Linked DNA regions of Arabidopsis thaliana. The protein of the gene in region 1 interacts with the protein of each later gene in a pairwise test. Each region holds a gene or a part of one and is shown on either strand. Other genes may lie near its edges. The genes, in order: KNAT7 and BLH6.

The links.
Region 2: the proteins of KNAT7 (region 1) and BLH6 interact in a two-hybrid assay, tested with the Arabidopsis thaliana proteins (2 studies listed by BioGRID, with this or other methods).

What each region holds. Positions count from the first base shown.
Region 1 is NC_003070.9:23,333,210-23,343,331, reverse strand, and holds KNAT7 (homeobox knotted-like protein), read right to left. Parts: upstream 6,166-10,122; 5' UTR 5,865-6,165; coding exon 5,583-5,864; intron 4,685-5,582; coding exon 4,564-4,684; intron 4,010-4,563; coding exon 3,810-4,009; intron 3,716-3,809; coding exon 3,584-3,715; intron 3,125-3,583; coding exon 2,984-3,124; 3' UTR 2,640-2,983; downstream 1-2,639. Other genes in the region: NRS/ER (nucleotide-rhamnose synthase/epimerase-reductase), read right to left, coding at 373-822; AT1G62981 (transmembrane protein, putative (DUF1191)), read right to left, coding at 8,508-9,539. UniProt on the Arabidopsis thaliana protein: May be involved in secondary cell wall biosynthesis.
Region 2 is NC_003075.7:16,527,403-16,537,154, reverse strand, and holds BLH6 (BEL1-like homeodomain 6), read left to right. Parts: upstream 1-3,792; 5' UTR 3,793-4,369; exon of another isoform or gene 4,370-4,581; 5' UTR 4,582-4,656; coding exon 4,657-5,307; intron 5,308-5,498; coding exon 5,499-5,866; intron 5,867-5,942; coding exon 5,943-6,003; intron 6,004-6,090; coding exon 6,091-6,609; 3' UTR 6,610-6,809; downstream 6,810-9,752. Other genes in the region: AT4G34630 (prostatic spermine-binding-like protein), read left to right, coding at 1-62; SSR16 (small subunit ribosomal protein 16), read left to right, coding at 1,063-1,195, 1,293-1,338, 1,909-2,071; AT4G34600 (uncharacterized protein), read right to left, coding at 7,197-7,316, 7,469-7,515, 7,791-7,875.

The DNA.
Region 1 (10,122 bases):
GAATCAATAAGTTCTGGTCAAAGTATTTCATCTGGAACATTTTTATTGCTAATTTAACATCTAAGACCTAAGCAATCACAAGTATTGAAACCAAATTAGCAACAGGTCAAATCTGAATAATGTCCTAAGTAACTAAAGGGGTCAAAATGTAAATTAACGAAGCTCTCACAAGTCTAATCTACAATCATCTGAAACAATTTGAGAGCTAATCTTACATTCAAAAGTCAAAACCTCAACAATTCACACAAATCAGAACTTAATTTACTAAAAAATCTTAGATTTTGGGGTTTACTCAAAGAAGAAACTAAAGATACAGATCAAATCTGAAGTTATTCATAAATAAAAGGATTGAAAATGTAAAAAGTTACTCACCATAGCTTTGGTTTTAGAGTAGAAAGATCCGGTGAAATTAGGAGTATCCTCCTCCTTGAATCCAATACCCGACCCGAGAGGATGACCCGAATCATACTCAAATATACAACCCGTAGCGTAATTGATCAGAACAAGTCCTTTCTCTCTGCAAATGTCAGCGAGAGTTAGGGTTCCGGCGACATTAGTACGAATCGTCTCAACTTTGTGAGATTCGCACCAATCAACATTAGGACGACCGGTGACTCCAGCAGCGTTGAACACGTGGCTAGGTTTCACGGATTCGATGTCGGCGACGATCGATTGACGATCTTGAAGACGACCGGAGCCGTAAGTGTAAGTGATTCCTTGAGCTTCGCAGAGTTTACCGAGTAAACCACCGATCCATCCGGTTTTACCGTAGATTAGGAAGTTAAATGAGCTTGATGATGAACCGTTTGCGTCTGCAACCATTTTTTTTTTTTGTCGGTGATCGGAAAGTTTTCGCCGGAGAGATATAAGAGAGAGTGTGTGGATCTGAAGGAGATGGTATAGGGAGACGTTGTGATCGGTGTTGCTTCTTTTTATCCCAATTTCTCGGGGAAGCAATAATCTTTTTAGTTTTTTTCTTTTGACCACCCATCGTTTCTTATTTGAGATTTGTGACCCATGAGTTTTTTTTCATGAATATTTTAGGAAATTGTTAAATTTAGGTGACATTACCAAAAATTAAGCAAAACATGTGTAGATAATTGGAGTAGTGATAAATTTTTGTTATTGAATTTAAGAAAATGTTTTCATTAGTACTTATACAACTAGTTAACTTAAATTTAACATAAAATAAACAAGTTATCCCGTTTTTAAAATTATATGATAAAAATAGTTCTATGGATAAAAAAAAATGCTATTAATATTTTTATAAGAAAACTTGTTATTATGTATAAATTTGTTGTTACTTTATACACTTTTAATAGCATAATGTAGAACTTTTATTCAGTAAATATAAGAAGACTTTATAAATTTTATTTCGTGGAAATGTCATTGAAAAAAATGTGTTAGTAGGAATAACAAAAAATTATTTCAATATATGAATATAATATGTGACAGATCACCCTAAACATGAATTATTGTGTTTCGTAGTGGTTTTGTGTGTTTAAAATAGTTTATTGTTGTCTGAATTTTAGACAGAGATCTGTGAAAGCGGTGGCGTGAGAAATTATTAGTTAAACACAAAGGAGATTCCACTTCATTGGGTGTCTGAATTTAAAATATGTATTATTCGTTGCAATTTTAATTAAAGAATCTCTTTTTTTTCTTTTTACCACCCTTTTTCTGGTCAACTACTACTCATACTATTTTTTAATAGTGAAAATTAAAAAGTTCGAAGAAAAAGAAAAAAACACTTAAAACACGTTACTGTTTTGAATTTACAATTCACAATTATCGACTATAAATGCGTATATTATATTAAGCATCCGAATCTTATGAGATCAAAGAGCTAACTTAGCAAAAGAACCCGTTAACGAATCGGTAACCCTTTAAACATAGTATCATTTCAATAAATATACAGATACATCTCAATTACAAATTAATGTAGTGATTTATATCATATTCATATGTACATAATTCCACCGATTTTTGGTACTAAATATTGTAATTGCAAAGTTTCTATATATATTGTAATTGATTTGACATCGAAACTAATGAGGTTTAAACCAAAGATCTGGATCTATACAACATTTGATATATTAAGCATATAAAACTCCAAATGTACAAATCCCCCTGCCCTTAAATACCATACACGTTATCGAAAATATATACGTATGTCACTAACATTCATTTATTAAGCAGTCAGTCCAACTTCTTTTGTCAAATTAATTAGTAGTTTAATGTTATAGTAATCGGGGGTTACCATAAGGCATAAAGTAATGTCTTTACTTTTATATATATATATATAAACAGATCGGATCTTCTGTCTGAATCGTAGTGGACAAATGATGGCGGCATGTGGTGACTTTTCTAAGATAGTAAGATCCCAAGTTCTCAATCTCAAGAGCTATTTTTTCTTTTTTAATGAATACATCATATATCTATTTCTCGGTCTAGTTGTGTTTGTAAACTCGTTTGAAAATATTAAGTTACACAAATCTTGGTATCAAATAAAGAACTAGAAAACTATACGTTAATTAGTTTTTGAGAATACCAATAATCTAAACTGGAATTAAACTAATCCATTTTTATGGACGATTTCTTTCATTGATCGGTCCAAAGATATTATGATATGGCTTATATTTTATAAAACACTGCCTTTTTTGTCGGCATCATTACTTTATATTTCCAAATGATGGTCTAGTCATCCACGGAAAACACGTTACAAAATCAGTGTTCTTACCAAAAAGATAAATTTGAATGCACAATACAAACAAAATGAATTACAATCTAGTAACAACCAGTAATCACGCAACGCACAAATCATATAGTAGTCGGTGGATCTAATAAGCTAAGTAAGTACATGATATTAATGATCACACCTCGTTATTATCAGTAACATGAATTACGTATGTATCATGCATGTCTTAGCAGTGTAATTAGTATGAATATATGTAGAGGTAGTAACTAATATAGTAAGAAGAGATTAGTGTTTGCGCTTGGACTTCAAGGAAGTGAGGGAGTGAGAGTTGTTGTGCCAATTCCTCTTGCGTTGGTTAATGAACCAATTGTTGATTTGCTTCAACTGCAATCCTGTCTCCTCCACCAATTTTGCCTTGTCATCTTCCTGTTCAAGACACATATTTTTTTACATTATAAATTTGTTGTTGTTAATGACATTTTAGGAAAGAAAACAAAAACAATCAGTTTCAGTTTCAACGAAGAGAGGCCAATGCATGTGCAGATCTGATAGCGTCAAAGGCTATTTCTTTTCCACTATAGCATGCAACTTTAGACTGTAGTCCACCTTTTTGGCTTGTGCCAAATATTGAACGGGAGAGAGATGTATAGTGTTTTTGAGTATTAGTAACAAATTCAGTATGTTTGAAGAATAGAAAAAAAATGCATGTTGTGACTTTGAGTGTAACCAAAATGGGTCTTGATTGTTTCTTTGCATTTACATATCTATCTTCATTTGTTGTTTCATGTTATAATGATTATCATATTATTTCATGAAAACGTAAACCCAAACAAACAATTAGACGGAAACTATATTTGTTGTTCGTAAAATATAGAGAGTACTCACCGTAGGGTAAGGCCATTTGCAATGTTGTTGCCACCAATTTTTCAAGACAGTAGTTGTGTCTCCTGGCAATTTCCCAGCCCTTCTCTTCCTCATTATCTCTTCTCTTACATCTTCGATTCTCGATTTAAAACCCTTATCCGAAAAATAAACAAACGTCATAACAAGAAAATAAATAGTAAAATAACTGTATTACTATTGTGAATCATAACATATTAGTTAATTATACCTGTTTGAGTTCTAGTTTGAGTTCTTGTCTGACTCTTTCCATAAGGGATCTTTCCGATTCAGTCGGTAGCAACGGACCAAATCCCGTCATATCGTGGCCGCCGCTAAAATCAACGCCGGAATTATCTGACGAGAAATCCATCGGAAGATCATCCTCATCCTCCGACATAGTCGCACCCGACCCTTCTCCTAAAGTTGCTCCTACAAGAATACAGAACGTTTTAAACGAAATGTTACTCCAACAGTCAAACTACAAGATTTAGACGTCAAGCCCAAGCCCAAACTTAGGCTCAAGCCTGATATGCCCTTACGCATACAATAATCCTAATCAATACATCCCACGCTTTACGTGGTCATCAGTGCAAAAATAAATATTTTTAATAATTTCGTATAATTAAGAAATTTCATCTTTAGACTAATCATATAATATAACTATATAAGCACAAATAAAATCTCTATTTCTTATTGTGTGGGCATATAATATACTCTTCCTGATCATCTTCCAACACCTTACATTTAATATGTTTACTAGTTGTTCATATCTGGTATGATCAGCAAGAACCTTTAGATATACCTAACTCTATTATTTGTTTTAACTATCGCTAATTTTTAACAGGAATTTTAATTATATATATCTTAAGTACTTTCTGATTCTATAGCTATGTGGTATATATAATAACATGTAATTATCATGAAGTTATGTTTTTTAATTGGGTTATAAAAAATACCATTAAAAAAGTGGAAAAGAAAAGAACCTGTAAGAGAATGAAGGTTGTTCTCAATTTCACGGCAAGCCATAACAGCTTCGACGGCATGAACCCTCACGTGCTGTTGCAGCTGTTCTTTGAAGCTACACAACACCATTACATATTGTGCCTGTTTCCAATTAATTATAATTGTTAAATGTTTTATATATCCTCTCACATTTCATATAATTATTCAATGTGTAAACATTTTCCACATATATGCATACACACATATAAATATGTGCTTCTGGTGTGGTGTGTTTTGAGCGGTTAGATCATTATATAGTCCTATTTTCTACCTAACTTAAATAAATATAAATAAAACCGAATTTTTTTGGAACATTTCACAAGCTAATTCCAAAATTATAGTTGCAATATCAATTCCAACTTTAATGCAATTGCAAATTTTAGGTCGGAGTAGAAAATCAATCGTAACTAACATGATAATATTCAAAGTTTAAATAGAATTTCAATTTAATTACAAAATGACATTTAACATTGACTCACTCTATGTGAAATTTAGCACCTAACTATACAAAAAACCATATCTACATCTATGTGTGTGTATTATACATTTGAACATTCGTGTGAAGATACATAAATTTCCATGAAAGTTGAACAAAACCACTTCTTCACAAAAATCAGGTAAAAAAATACCAATAACTTAAATCATTGGAAAAAAACATAATTTGTTTGAAGTATAACTTCCCACAAGAGGAATTAGTAATTATAAAATTTATAGAAATTGTTGATATATTGACAAAAGGTTTACATCTTCGATCGATAAAACTCCCAACGATCTTGTAAAAAGTAAAACACGAAAATCATTGAAAAAAACATAATTTGTTTGAAACATAATTTCCCAACAGAGATTGGTTAGTAATCATAACTTCATTCAAAGTTAGTCCACTAGAAACCATCAAAAAAAAACTTTCAAATGAAAAAAGATAGAAACAGAACTTGTAAGTAATTTAACCAAACAAGATTATTTTTTAAAATATAACTAATAAATTTATATTCAAACGTACCAAGAAATTATCGAGCTCGTGACGATCATGATGGTATCCAACGGCCGTGGAAGCGTAAGAACGGAGAAGATGATGAGATTGAGAAAGCTGAGCTTCAATGATCGGAAGTTGATCTATTGGAGTAGCTACTCTTAAACACGCCACGTGTGCGGCTAATAATTGCTCATACATCGGATGTGTCGCTATCTCACCTTTCAACTGTCTATTCTGCTCCGCCACGACCGCGGTGTCTCCGTCTCCGCCTACGGTGGCTCCCATCATACCTAGTGCCGCTTCTTGCATAACCTTGACACAAGACCGGAGAGAGATACTTTTTGTGTCTGATCAAAACCCTAATTCTTGAAGCAGATTGTGTTCGTATGATTAGAAAAAGAGAGAGAGAGAGAATTGTCAGATGAAATCAACCTATATAAAGCTGTCCTGATTTCTTTCCCCTTTAATTGTTTTTCACTCCATTCTTTTCTAAAAATATACATTATTTGTTTATAGATTATTTTGTCTTATTTGTATACAAAATACATTTAAAACAATGTTTGTTATACACGGGTCTGGTCCGGCCATACCATATATTATTTTTACATAGATCAAATTATATTGAAAGTATTATTTTTGTATTGTTAATCGAAAGACTGAAAACTAGAATTACTAATTTTCATCAGATATGTGAATACAAACACACGGACGTTGATTGTTTTATACGGTGATTGTTATCTTTACAATTAATCTGAATTACTTTAGTCTAGAAAACTGCTACTATATATATGTTTGATTCCACAATATGCTGATATATACCTTGACGTAAAGTTATGAAAAAAGTGCACGTTAACAACGTGCTTTACAAAAATCATAAATACGTGTATATGTATGTATATAAAATGTAAACTTAAAATAAAAATTAAAAACACTTTTATTTTCCTTCTCGTGACAATGATTTAAGACCTAATAAGTGATCAACAACTTGAACTTAAAAATTAGTTGAAATTTTGAAAAAGAATGAGGAAAATAAAATATCTTCCCACCTTTAACGACAGGACCGGTAGACACACCTAATCCTCTAACGCCCACTTAACAAATAGTATTAACACCTAATTGATAATACTATTTAATAGTATAGAAATATAGTATATTTGTTTTCTTCTTTTGGTAAAGAACAAATATAATTAGTTATTCTTTTAAAATATTAAATACTCAATTACGTGATACAGTTAAATTTTTTTGGACAAAATGTGATACAGCTTTGATGCACCATTTCTTAGTCATATAACCTTAAAACAGTAACACTCTGATAATTTAATTGCAGTATTATTTGATAGATAGAAAAATGCTTTCATATTTTTCCTAGTTTGATATGAAGTTAATATAGCACACAAACAATAGTTTGATATATGAACTTTAATATATACTAATAGTTTTTAGCTAGAATTTCAGAAATATCCATAAAACTGAAAAAAAAAAAATTGATGTGTTGTGAAACGTTGTTAAGTCCGGATACTCTTGTGGCATGGTTTTTTGTAACGTCATGTAATAGTTCCGTTCAGAATTACAAATCTTCTGAACATACATGTTGGACGTTAAAAAAATTATTTTTCCACTTCATCGTTTAAAAAAATATATTCTTAAATCTTCTGGTTTTCCTCCGGCTTGGCATATTGGAGCCAATAGCCATCCAAGTAGTCTTAAGTTTTTGCAAAAAAAAAACTGCAATTAATTACAAAAACTAAAATAATATTTCATCATAACAATGGAATCCTTGGTCGTTGTAATTGCATATGTTGCATGTAGTTTATATCGTAATAGGATTAGATCAAATATTTTTAATAATGCCAATAATACATGACACAAAAAAAACTAAAATAATAGCACATAATATATTCTATAAACAAAAATAAAAAATACAAATTAAAAGAGGATTTTGCATATTATTAAATGAAAAAGAGAATAATGCACGCCTTCACCAATATGGAAAAACTACTTTCCATTTCTCCCTTTTTATGTAGTTATGTACAAATTCCCTTTTGTTTTACGCAATGACATCAAAAATATTCGTTCGTATAGAAAAATGAAAGAAACAAAATAAAGAGGGACAAAGACAGAGTTGGTCGAACAAAGAAAAGAGGGACAGAATTGTCGTTCTCTTAAGCCTAAGATTTAAGACATCTCACATCTGAAACAATTTGTGGTCCTATGAAAACGACTTCTCAACTTATAATAATGCTTTTGACACAAAAAAAAACTTATAATAATGCGGCCATTAATCAGAGAACAATGAGATACTATTAGTGACACGATACTAAGTTTTAGTGATTTAATGTACGGGCCATATAATATTGTGAGTTTGGTGGACCTAAAAATAATTCTCATTGGGCACTTCATTAAGGTCTCAAAGCCTAAACACTTGTACACATGGGTTCGTAATTGTTTCCGTGTGTGATATTACTAGCATAAAACGTTTCCTAGCTATGTGACTCCTCAAAAAAAAAAAAAAACTACCATTTGATTAGAGGTAGATTTTCATCAAACATATTGTATTCTTATGAAGACGCCAGACGGCATATTTCATCAAATTATAATTCTTGATGCCTCGTTAATTAACGTGTAGGCAACGATCATGTTGTTTTTTTTGGTGTAAAAAATGACCATGTTTTATTGTTTATCAATGACTTTGAATGTAACTTTGCTCATTTGATTTTCTTTAATAGTTACTACTTACTACTAGGCCACTAGCGGTGTTACCTTGTAAATTCATCACCGTGAAAGAAAGAAAAAATCATCACCATACGTACCTTACTTGTCACCAACGAAATATATATATATGTCCCAAAACCCCCAACAACATGCATTTTAACATAAATTAAAACCGTTTTTACAAAAGAAAAAAAAAAGAAAACAATCCACAAAAACGGAATCACACGTAAATATAATTAATTAATTAGGAACAAACTCATATTCCATGAAACCTGGAGAAGTCCTTGTAGCAGAAGCAACGAAAGCCCTAGAATGCCCCACCATTGACACTACTCTAAAAGCTTCTTCTTCATAAGCTTTTCTCTCCATTTCTTCCCTTTTTGCCCTTCTTCTCCTTTTCTTTGCCGTCACTACAGCAGCCGCCACCACCAGCCCTAAAAGCACCACCCCCACCGTCACAGACCCAACAAGCCCTCCAACAACCTTCCTCCACCGTCCGATCTTCTCCTTCTTCATCTCCTTTTCTCCTCCACCATTCGATTTTGGATCATCCGTCACCACTAAACCAAAATGTCCATTGGTTTTAACGGCGCACACAAACGGCTTCACTTCGGCGGCAAGCGTTACTTTTCCATCAAGTTCAAAAGTAGCGCACATTGGCTTATTCAAGAACGTTCTCTCTACCACCGACGGTCCAGAAACGTTCCCAAAATCAACGTTGGATGGATCTTTAGTACGGGCTAGGAGGAGACTTATCTGATAAGAGCTACTCACGTTATTCCCTAAAACAACATCGTTTAATGCGTTATAAGCTAAGAGCCCTAGAACCGGAGACACAAGTCTATAACCGGAGAGATCATAGTTTTTGTAATATATATCGGACCACTTTGATCCCAAGCTTTGTCTCACAACCAAAAGACGTTCACCACACGGCTCAAGAATAGCTCCAACGCCAATATTGAATTCTTCGATTTTTGCTCCGTATCGTCGGAGACTCCCACACCGGAACCTAACGGCGTCAAGTTTTATGCCGGAGTAGTCAGACGGGAGATGAACACGCCGAATAACACCGGTCTTGATAGAATAATGTTGGTTCTTGAAGAAGTTGAGAGTGTAATCTCTTAGAATGAGATCAAGAAGCCTTGAGGATTCATTGAGAGCTTCTTGAGTAGTAGTAGTAGAAGTCGAACCCTCTAGATGAGAGGGAAGGAAGAGGAATAATACGATTATTATTAGTTGAATAGAGGGAGGATAGAGTGTTAGTGTTACCATTTTCGATATTGGTGGAGTAATTGTTCACGTTTGAATGTTGAGGTGATGAGAAGATGCGATGAAGAAGTGTAGAGGAAGAGTCGATCATGAGAAATGAGTTTCTCTTTTCTTTTTAGAGCTTGGTGAAGGCTTTGGATTGAAGGGACAGGTTTGCTTTTATTTGATAGATATATTTATGTATATATGTATATAGTTTTTATGCTACTCCATATGATTTCTTGGGGTATGAAACTGTAGGCGGCGTGAGATTGTTTTGAGTAAAGTGTACGTTTTATAGAATATATAATTTTCTATTTTTTAAATAACTGACGTTTCAATGTTTGTGTATAACGTTCTTTTACAAATTTTTCATTTTTACTCTAGTCAAATTTAATTTTAAGTATTAAATAGATCAGAATTATAAAACAGCAATTATTTTCTAAGAATGTACTATTATTGTATACAAACTCTCTTAATTCGCATCAAAATTTGTCAAACGATCTTTATATTAAACTGAAGTGAGTATCATACATTGGCGAATCATGATCATATCGTCTAATCGTTATGTCATATTTATTGATAACTCTTGAATTAGAAAAGTCAT
Region 2 (9,752 bases), on another chromosome or scaffold:
CGTTTTTGAAGCCTGGTATCGTTCGTGGTAAGCATGGTCTCGGCATGAAATTCAAGTGCTGATTGTGTTGGGATTTCGAAGTTTCACAAGGCGATGGGATGGTTTCTTCAAGAACTCTCGGTAGAATTTCTCAGTTTCTGGGTTTAATTGATGTGTAAATTTGTTAGTTCAATTTCAATTCCTCTTTAGTAGTAAGTAATTCGGATGCTTCTGAAGATCTCATTGTACATGATGGAAATTAAATAACTCGCATTTTAGGATTCATTGTTCATTAACTGATCGCTTTCTTTGATGGCTCTTTAATTTGGTTGATCAGATTGTGATTGTGAATCTTGGGTTAGCAAATTGTAGTGTTGAAATGGAGAAGATGATGAATGGATCATAATAACTCTTGATAGATGAGCTCGTTTAATCTTGTGTGAACCTTAGAATTGAAAACGACAGCTAAACTGTAGCAATGATTTAACAGGAAGAAGGTTTGTGTTTGGTGGTGGTTAATTTGGTTATCTTTGTAGAAGCTTTTGCAATTTTTGTGAATGTTGGTGGTTGTTTGAAAAGTCATACTCGTAGGATGTACGCATCACTCTGAATTTCGACATCTGAGTGGTTGAGACTGGAGATAACTTTATTTTATTTTATTATATCTAACTTGTTGCATGCACTATGGACTTCGTATATCTCTCTACTAACAGTCAAACACCTATACGATAACAAGATGCTGGTGTTCTCAAATTGAACATTTTGAAGCAATTTCTTTTAGGAAGATCCTTAAAGACAGGAAGCTGATTGAATATTTTGGAATTTCTGGATAATCCGAGATTTTAGATAAGTGACTTCTGTATAGCAAATCACGAAAAGAAACGTATAGCAGATCTAATGGGCTTAATGTGAATAAAGAGATAAAATGTAAACTGGCCCAACATGGCCCATCTTATCAATAACGATCGTAACAGAAGAAAGAGAACACAGATAAGGGGAAAAAGCCAAAACCCACCAGCTTAAATAAAAACCTTTACTTATCTTCTTTCTTCTCACTTCTCAGACCTCAATTTCCAAGCAGAGATGACGGTGAAGATAAGGCTCGCGCGTCTTGGTTGTAAACACCGACCCTTCTATCGTGTAGTTGTCGCCGATGAAAAATCGCGCAGGGACGGTAAACAAATCGAGGTGTTAGGCTTTTATGATCCACTCCAAGGTTCGTTATTTCTCCTCTATATACATTTCTCAATTCTCAGTAAAATTGAACACTTCCTAATGTCTCTGCTATCATGAATCTACTTGTACGTCTTCAGGCAAAGAAGATGCGGATAGAGTGAGCCTCAAATTCGACAGAATCAAGTATGTTTTTTTTACTTGTTCTATCATCTTCATATTCCTGTTTGCTTGTATAATTGTGTCAAGTATTTTAGGACACCAGTTAGATGTGAAACTCATGATTGTTTGATAAGACTGAAACACTAAAGAGTCTCTTTCTCGACATTATCCATATGATTGATTATTCCTCATGAATGTGTTTTCTTGTTTGTCTTTTAATCATCTTAATTCATTCTCTTTAGTATTCTGCAAGGTCATAAACTTGTTCTTGCCACAATGATGCTGCCTAATTGCTTAGATTGTGACAAATTGAGATGCTTTCTGTTGATTCTGTGTCCAAAACTCTATTTGCATAAGGCTACAATCCTTAATTCATTTGCTTCTCTCAGTCATGTTTGGTTGTTTCTACACCTAATGCATTTCATCTGGTGCAAGTTTTCTGTGAGGCTTGGTTTTGCTTGTATGATTGATTTGATTAGACTGGTTTAAAAGTCTAAATCCACACAGTTCTTGGTGTCTAACTAAACTTCTTTTTTATTTTGTGCAACTGTTGAAAGAAATTGATTTTCACTCTATGGTACTCGAATAATGCAGGTACTGGTTATCTGTTGGAGCTCAACCAACAGACACAGTGGAAAGCATGCTTTTCAGGGCCGGTTTGATACCACCAAAGCCTATGGTAGTGGTCGGTTCGAAAAATGGGCAGAAGTCTACGAGCCAACATGTTTCACCCATTACAGGTGAAATCTTGAACTAAGAGTGTTGATGCGTTGAGCAAGAAAGAGCCTTTTGTGTCTGTGTGAAAGGAGTTTATGTAATGTTGTTTAAGACTTTTCTGTTTATGTGAAAGGAGTTAATGTAATGTTGTTTAAGACTTTTGCTTTCTATGTGAAAGCAGTTTAATGTTATGTTGGTTAAGACTTTTCTGCAACAGAGTTTGGTGAATTTTTATTCTTTAATATGAGCATGCCTTTTTACATTTAACAATTCTCACTTTAGACTAAATAGGCTTTGGTAAGAGGCCCATATTTTCAAAAATAAGATTCATTCTCAATATCTGGATTGTATGCTAAAAAAAGGAATTAGGCCCATATTTGCTCAAAAAAAAAAAAAAAAAAAGTTATCTGCCTGAATATGATCTTGGACATTAGAACCTCGTTCTTACCTTTTATGTATATCTTTACTTCTACATGGTAGTAGTTATATAATCTCGTTGATCTTGAAATTAGTTCTTATTCTCATATAGGTCTGAAACTCTTATATTGCTTCTCTTCAAAATTTTGTTCCGTCTTTTTGGTTTCAATATCTGCCAAAATGTATTTGTATCGTCTATATGTGTTAAAAACACATGCAAGAGACTAGTAACTAGACAATAATCTATTTCAAACTAAATTGGTCTTCTAATAAAAATGTTATAGTTATGGAAAAAAGGATGTGTCTTTGGGACATTACAGCTCTATTGGGCCAACAAAATCTCTCGCTTCGTATCCCATTAGATTCTCTCTTTCTCTCTCTCTCTCTCTCTTCCTTCAGAGATGTTCATTGTTCGTATTATTACGGCATCTCTGGCTCTGACCCTCTCGCTGCAACATCTGTCCCTATTCAGACAGCTATACCTCTATTTTCATTCTACACCTAATACTTTATATTTCTTCAAAAATCCACCCTGATCAACTTCCTATCACTATCTAAGTCATTCTCATTATCTTTGTGTTGTTGCTCTCAAGTCTCGCCCATGGAACTAACGATTCTCTCAGCCTCTAATCAGTATTGGACCCTAGTCTTAAAGATTATAGTAGTTACCAAGTTAGGACTTAGGACTTAGGATATAGACTTCTGTCAAACAAGAAAGTGAATGCTAAGTTTAGAAGCATTTGAAAGAAAAAGTACTAATCCATAAATATCTACAAGTTGTTTCCAGGAAAAGACAAAACTCAGTGGGGAAAACGAGCACTTATGGTGTTTACAAAATGAAAATAAAAAAGAAGAAAAAGTTGTGTTTGTTATTTTTTGGGACCCTTATTTCTTTAATAGTTGCATAGCCTCTGGACGACCAGAGTCCACGAATGTATAATCAGATACCAAAAAAGTATGAAAGAAATATATAAAGAAAAGGAAGAAGAAACAATCATGGCTTGGCTTACTTAAAAAGTAAAGTAGCTAATACTCTTAATCAAAACTCACATAATAAACATTAGTTATGTGTTTATAATGATAAGTTAATGACCTATTCATCAGAAAAACAAGTTGTGATATATATACTTAATCAAAATTCACCACGATCTACTAATCTGCTAAATTTTTATTGTTTACTTGCAAAATAAACTATATAACTCAACACTTCCGAATTTAAATTTAAATTTAAGATGACTTTATGTCAAGAAGCTAGTAGCATCTTTGATTCTTTGTACTTTTCAACTTAAGTAAAGAAAATAGAAATGTGATTATATGGAGGATATTGATTTAATCAATGTGTAATTAAGAGACAGAGAGTGATAAGGATTGGGATTAAGATTAGGTTTAGGATTGGGAGAAAGATGAAGAGAGAGGGGTTTAGGTCGACCAACTGGTTGTTAAAGATAGAAACTCCTTAACCATACATTTATATAACATTTTCACAATAATTTTCTTCTCTTTACCAAAGACTTGACTCCAGGAATCAATAAGCAAGAAGCAGGAGGTTCAAGCACCAACCAGATTATGGCTTTCTGAAGCAATATCTTCAGAAAACAAAATAAAGTTTTTATTTGATTTTCTTATTACCATATTATATACTATTAAATAAGAAATTCAAAGTTTTTTTTTTCCATTCTTTCTTTCTTCCGGAGGAGGGAGAGTATGATATGGGTCTTTCACGTGTGACATTGATGAGATGATGAATTCAAATTATATCTCATACCAAAAAAAAAACACAACCAAGAGAAAGAGGCGTAACCTTCTGATTTCTTTCTTTTAAGATATCAATAAAATCTTTCACATTTTCTAATTTTTAATTCTTTTCAAGATTTTGTTGTCTCCTTCAACAATCCATCAGAAGTAGCAGTTTGGTTTCCAGGTAATTTACTAATCTTTTTATTTCTATACAATTCTTCTTTTTTTTTTGTTGTCTATGGATTTGGCTTGCATCTCCATAATTGCATGCATAACCATATATTCAAGACATGTTGAAATCTTACATGTTTCTTAGCAATACACTGATTATATGGATCCTGCTCTGTTTCAATTGTTTTTGAATCTGTCTTTAATGTCAAGCATTTCCTCCATAAGGTTAAGTTCTTACGACCTGATCAGAAAACAAGGGACTATGGAACTCAAGTGAGCCAAAAAGAACACTCCATTTCGATGGAGAATTATCCAGAAACACAGTTTATTCCCGGAGATTCAATGATCCAGAATGCTATAGTTTCTTACTCTGAGGAATCAGCCGGTAGAGAAAGAAGAACTGAAGCTAACAATGTCTCAGCCTCACAAGAGAGGCAAGCATTGTCCAGATTTGGGGGAGTTCCACAAATGCAGAACATTGGTCAAGATTTCGGTTCTTGGAGAGATCAAGCGAGTGACAGGAACGGTTTCCAGCTAATGAGCGCGATGGCAGGTGCCACGGGGATTCTTCAGACCGGTCAGGGACTGTCCCTTAGCCTTGGTTCACAGATTCTTCCAGGAATTCATCAGATAAGCCATCAAAATATGGCGCCGAGAGGCAATGAGTATGCAACACAGAGTTTTCCGGGCGGGAATCAGAACTTGGATGTTGTGAGAACAATTCCCAACTCAAAGTATCTTAAGGCGGCTCAACAGCTTCTAGATGAGGCTGTTAATGTAAAGAAAGCTCTAAAGCAGTTTCAGGCAGAGGGAGATAAAAACAATGAGAACCCTCAAGAACCGAATCAGAGCACTCAAGACTCGAGCACGAATCCTCCTGCGGACATCTCTCAGTCGGAGAGACAAGAAATGCAGAGCAAGTTGACAAAACTCTTGTCAATGTTGGATGAGGTAATAACTTGAGACCTAATCTTCTTAATTTGATCATGTGATGGTTACCTTTTATAGGCCTTTTGTTATAATATTTTAAATGCAAAAAAGCATACATTTAAATAAATTGCAGCCATAATGTTGTTACATTTGGTATATATAGGATATGTTGAATATTTAAGAAAATGAGATATTTCTTGATTTTGGTAAAGGTGGATAGAAGATATAAGCAATATTACCAGCAGATGCAGATAGTTGTATCCTCGTTCGATGTGATAGCTGGTTATGGAGCAGCTAAGCCATACACAGCACTCGCCCTTCAAACAATTTCTCGCCATTTTCGTAGCCTAAGGGATGCGATATCCGGACAAATCCTCGTGCTACGTAAATGCCTTGGGGAACAACAAGATGGATCAGATGGGAAAAGAGTTGGGATTATAAGCCGGCTTAAGTACGTTGATCAACATTTAAGACAACAAAGAGGTTTTATGCAACCTCAAGCTTGGAGACCTCAACGCGGTCTACCTGAAAACTCTGTTTTGATTCTCCGTGCTTGGCTCTTTGAGCATTTTCTTCACCCGTAAGTCTCCCTTGAATCTTATCTCCACACATTTTCTTCATAAATAGTGATGATTACTGTTTGAAAACATGAATAGTTACCCAAAGGATTCTGATAAGATCATGCTAGCAAGACAAACGGGCTTGAGCCGCGGTCAGGTAAGGAATGTTTTATTTGAAGATTGTTTCTTTCTCTTCATAGTATAGTTTATTTATTGATTGTTGTGTGTTTTATGTTTGTAAAAGGTTTCAAACTGGTTCATAAATGCACGAGTGCGTTTATGGAAGCCAATGGTGGAGGAGATATACAAGGAGGAATTCACAGAGAATGATTCCAACTCGTCTTCCGAAAATACACCGAAAATGTCTGAGATAGGACCTGTTGCTGCTGATGATGAAGATCGAGCTCGAGAGTTTTCACAAGACCAGACCAAACCGGACCATGGACATGGATATGGCGAGGAAACTCGTGGCATGGTCCAAGGCAGTCATATGGATGGTCGCCGGTTCATGGCAGTTGAGCCTACATATCATGTGGCTGATACGTCAAGATTGGGTCGTGGTGATGTGTCCTTGACTCTAGGGCTTCAAAACTCTCAAGGACAGGACAATGTTGTGGCTATGTCTAGTGAGGCATACAACAACTTTTCCGGGGTGGATATTTACGAGAATGCCATCCCGGGAGATGAAATGGAGTATGTAAACCCCGGAAGTCGCCAGAACCGGATAAATTCTTCACAATTGGTACATGATTTTGTAGCTTGAAGAAGTAAGCAATGGAGAGGAATAAAGCATAGGTGTGATGAACTTATGATCAGTCTCAATTCTGTAGTGGAAGAATGTTGGTCAGAAGAAAAAGTTTTAGAAATATTTGTATAAAGTAAACATTCTTTTGTACAAGAATATAAGTGAGGTTAGGTCATTGGGACCAAACAGAATATGGTAAATGCAATTTGAGATCTGCAAGAGATGGACATTACACTGTAGACTTATTATCTTATCACATCTACGAAACTGCAACGTTCCCAATTCTCTTCTCTTTTTTTTTGTCTGGCACATATACAATCTGTATCCGTTTTCAGAATTAATCGAATATTTCAATATTAATTTTGATCATAAGGATTCTATCAGATAAATTGTAATATTCATCTAATGATGACTATTCACCAAATTTACATTCTGCATGATAGCAAAGAGCACTATCTAATCATTAATTTACTAGAAAACATATCTTGAAACTTATATATATGATTATCATTCAAACTTATTGCAGTGTTAGTATTTAGGTTTACATATATTATACATCTCAGAAAGTCTGGCATCTATATATAGTCGATCGGTGATATGCATGATCAGTTGGGAATAAGCTTGAAAGGAGGTCTCACGAGCTTTGGTTTAGGACTGGAGTGGCCATAGTCTCTTGAATTCATTCTCAGAATTCTCTCATGCTCATGTATTCTTCTTTCTACTACCTGTCCACAAATAGAATGTATTCACCAACGTACAAAATTGTTCTTGAAATCATATAACTACGATCTTGATTATCAATTTGTTCGGTTTTTTACTAAGTAAAGATATACAACGCACGGTAGTTGGCAACTTTTTTTGGAGTTAAAACGAATACCTCGGGATGATCATCTTCTTGGCTATAGATTAAAATGGATGATCGGCCTACAAAAAAGAAAAAAAAAAGAGACTTAAGCTTGTCTATTCTTTATATCCAAGATTAATCAATCCAAATAACACTAACGTAACATACTATGTCGTTAATTTTCTCCTTTAGTCGTCATTAACACACATGTGGAGAGCACAAGCTCTTAATGTTATTATCTTACTTTCTAAAAGACTGATCTCAGTAGGAGGCACATGAAGTTGCAGAGAAAAGCTGCAAACAAAGGAATATAAATATGTAGATAGAGAGAGAGAAAAAAAAGTAAGAAACAAACCTGCAGAACAGAGAGCAAACGCTGAAGCTGAAACTAGAAGAAAGATGATGAAACCTAGTTTCTTCACCAATGGCAACAAACCCATCTTCTTTCTCCTTTCAATTTTTGATGTGCCTTAAGCTGTATCTTGTGTATTTAGATACACGTACCTTATCAAAAAAAAGAGAAGCCAATGCGTTTGGTATATCACTATATATAATCTCTAAAGAAATAACACGATTAAAAGTTAACTAATTTGTTTAGCCAACGTGAATGCTTTAAATAAAAAGCAACAATAAAAACCGGTTTAAATAGAGATTAGCTTGAGTTTCAAAATTAGATTGTATCAATTACAAATAAATAAAAATAGTAAAATACCATAACAACAATTGATTTATCCATCATTTAATTAATGCAAATATCTCTTAATGCTTTTAATTAAAAAAATTGTTCATGGAAATGGTGGGATTGGAGAAAAAGTTGAAAGGAGACTACTTTCCTATTGTTGGCCACAATAAGTCTAAAGAGGTTAGTGACCTGATTATTTAATATGAGTGCCTTCATTATCATAACCCAATTAAATTTACCAAATCATCATAATTATATTGTAGAATCCTTGAAGACTAGGTATTCAATATCGGTCAAAGTTCCATTCCTATTCTCCAATCAAGAGATATCGCTAGCTATAACCAACTGAATAATGTACGATTAGGCCTCTATAAATCTGATAGTGATATACTATATATGATACACTACTTCGTTTAACTCAAATTAATCGATCATAACATACTTACTGAAAGATAGAGTCATAAATTTTTCTCATAATTTTTTGCTAAAAAGTGTTAAACTTAAATGAATTGCTGATTGAGATTATGGAAAAAAGAGAACAAAGTTGTTTAAACTTTGCTTCGATGCACTGATTCGTCACACAATGATAAATTAAATGGATTACTGATTAATTGAGATTATGGAAAGAGAACAAAGTTGTTTGAACTTTGCTTTAATGAACTGATTCGTCACTATAATTAATGTTCGACGTATTATTTTATGGTTGCACATAAAAAGGAGTAAAGATGATGTAGTGGATGATGACCGTACCCTCACGATTCTTAATTTCAGTTTTGTTTGTTTTATTTATTTATTTTTGTTAAAAATTTCAGTTTTGTTTTGTCACTAATTTTTTTAAGGCTGGTATGAGTGCACGTCCTAACAAGAAACCACAACTCATTTAGAAGAAAACCGGCCTAATTAATTTTTTAAATGGAACCAAATTCTGGATTAGAATGTTATAGATAGCATAATTTATCTTGTTAAACACCGCTATATATTTTTCTATTACAAAATGAGAGTCAAGCTGTATATTAATACAAAACAATCATAGTAAACCTGTTGGGCCGGTTAAACTCTTGAATGGGCTTCGTAGTTAGTTAGTACACGTAATAGACATTAGAATCAACAACATACTGTACCATTAACATTTGCCTCGGGCCTATGTTTTAACTTACTTGTGAGGCTTTATAATTGTTTTGTGCTTATTTATAAAAGGTTGGGCTTATATTAAGATGTTGGGCAAAGCTCTCTCGATAGAAACTTGCACCAAAACTTTAAATCCGGTATGAACGTGTGTTGCTGACAAAGTTAATACATGTAGATAAAATCAAAGATTTCTAGACTTCACGGGCTTTTAGGTATCCTTTCGAAGAAGTAGGAATTAGAGTTTGGTGTAGGGTTCTACTCATTTATATGGACTTGTTACTTGTAACATAGAGTTTAGACGAAACCATTCAACTAATACATTATACATGTATGGTTTCTCGACTCTATGTTAGAGTCTAAATACACGAGTGTGTGACTTTCACAATAAAGAGTTTAAACCTTAGAATTGAAATTTCGATTCCGAACTAATTAACAAGAAAATACTTGAACTCGAAGGAAAATTCTGTTTTGAGTATCGTCGGCTATGACTTTTTACTTCCTAGTACA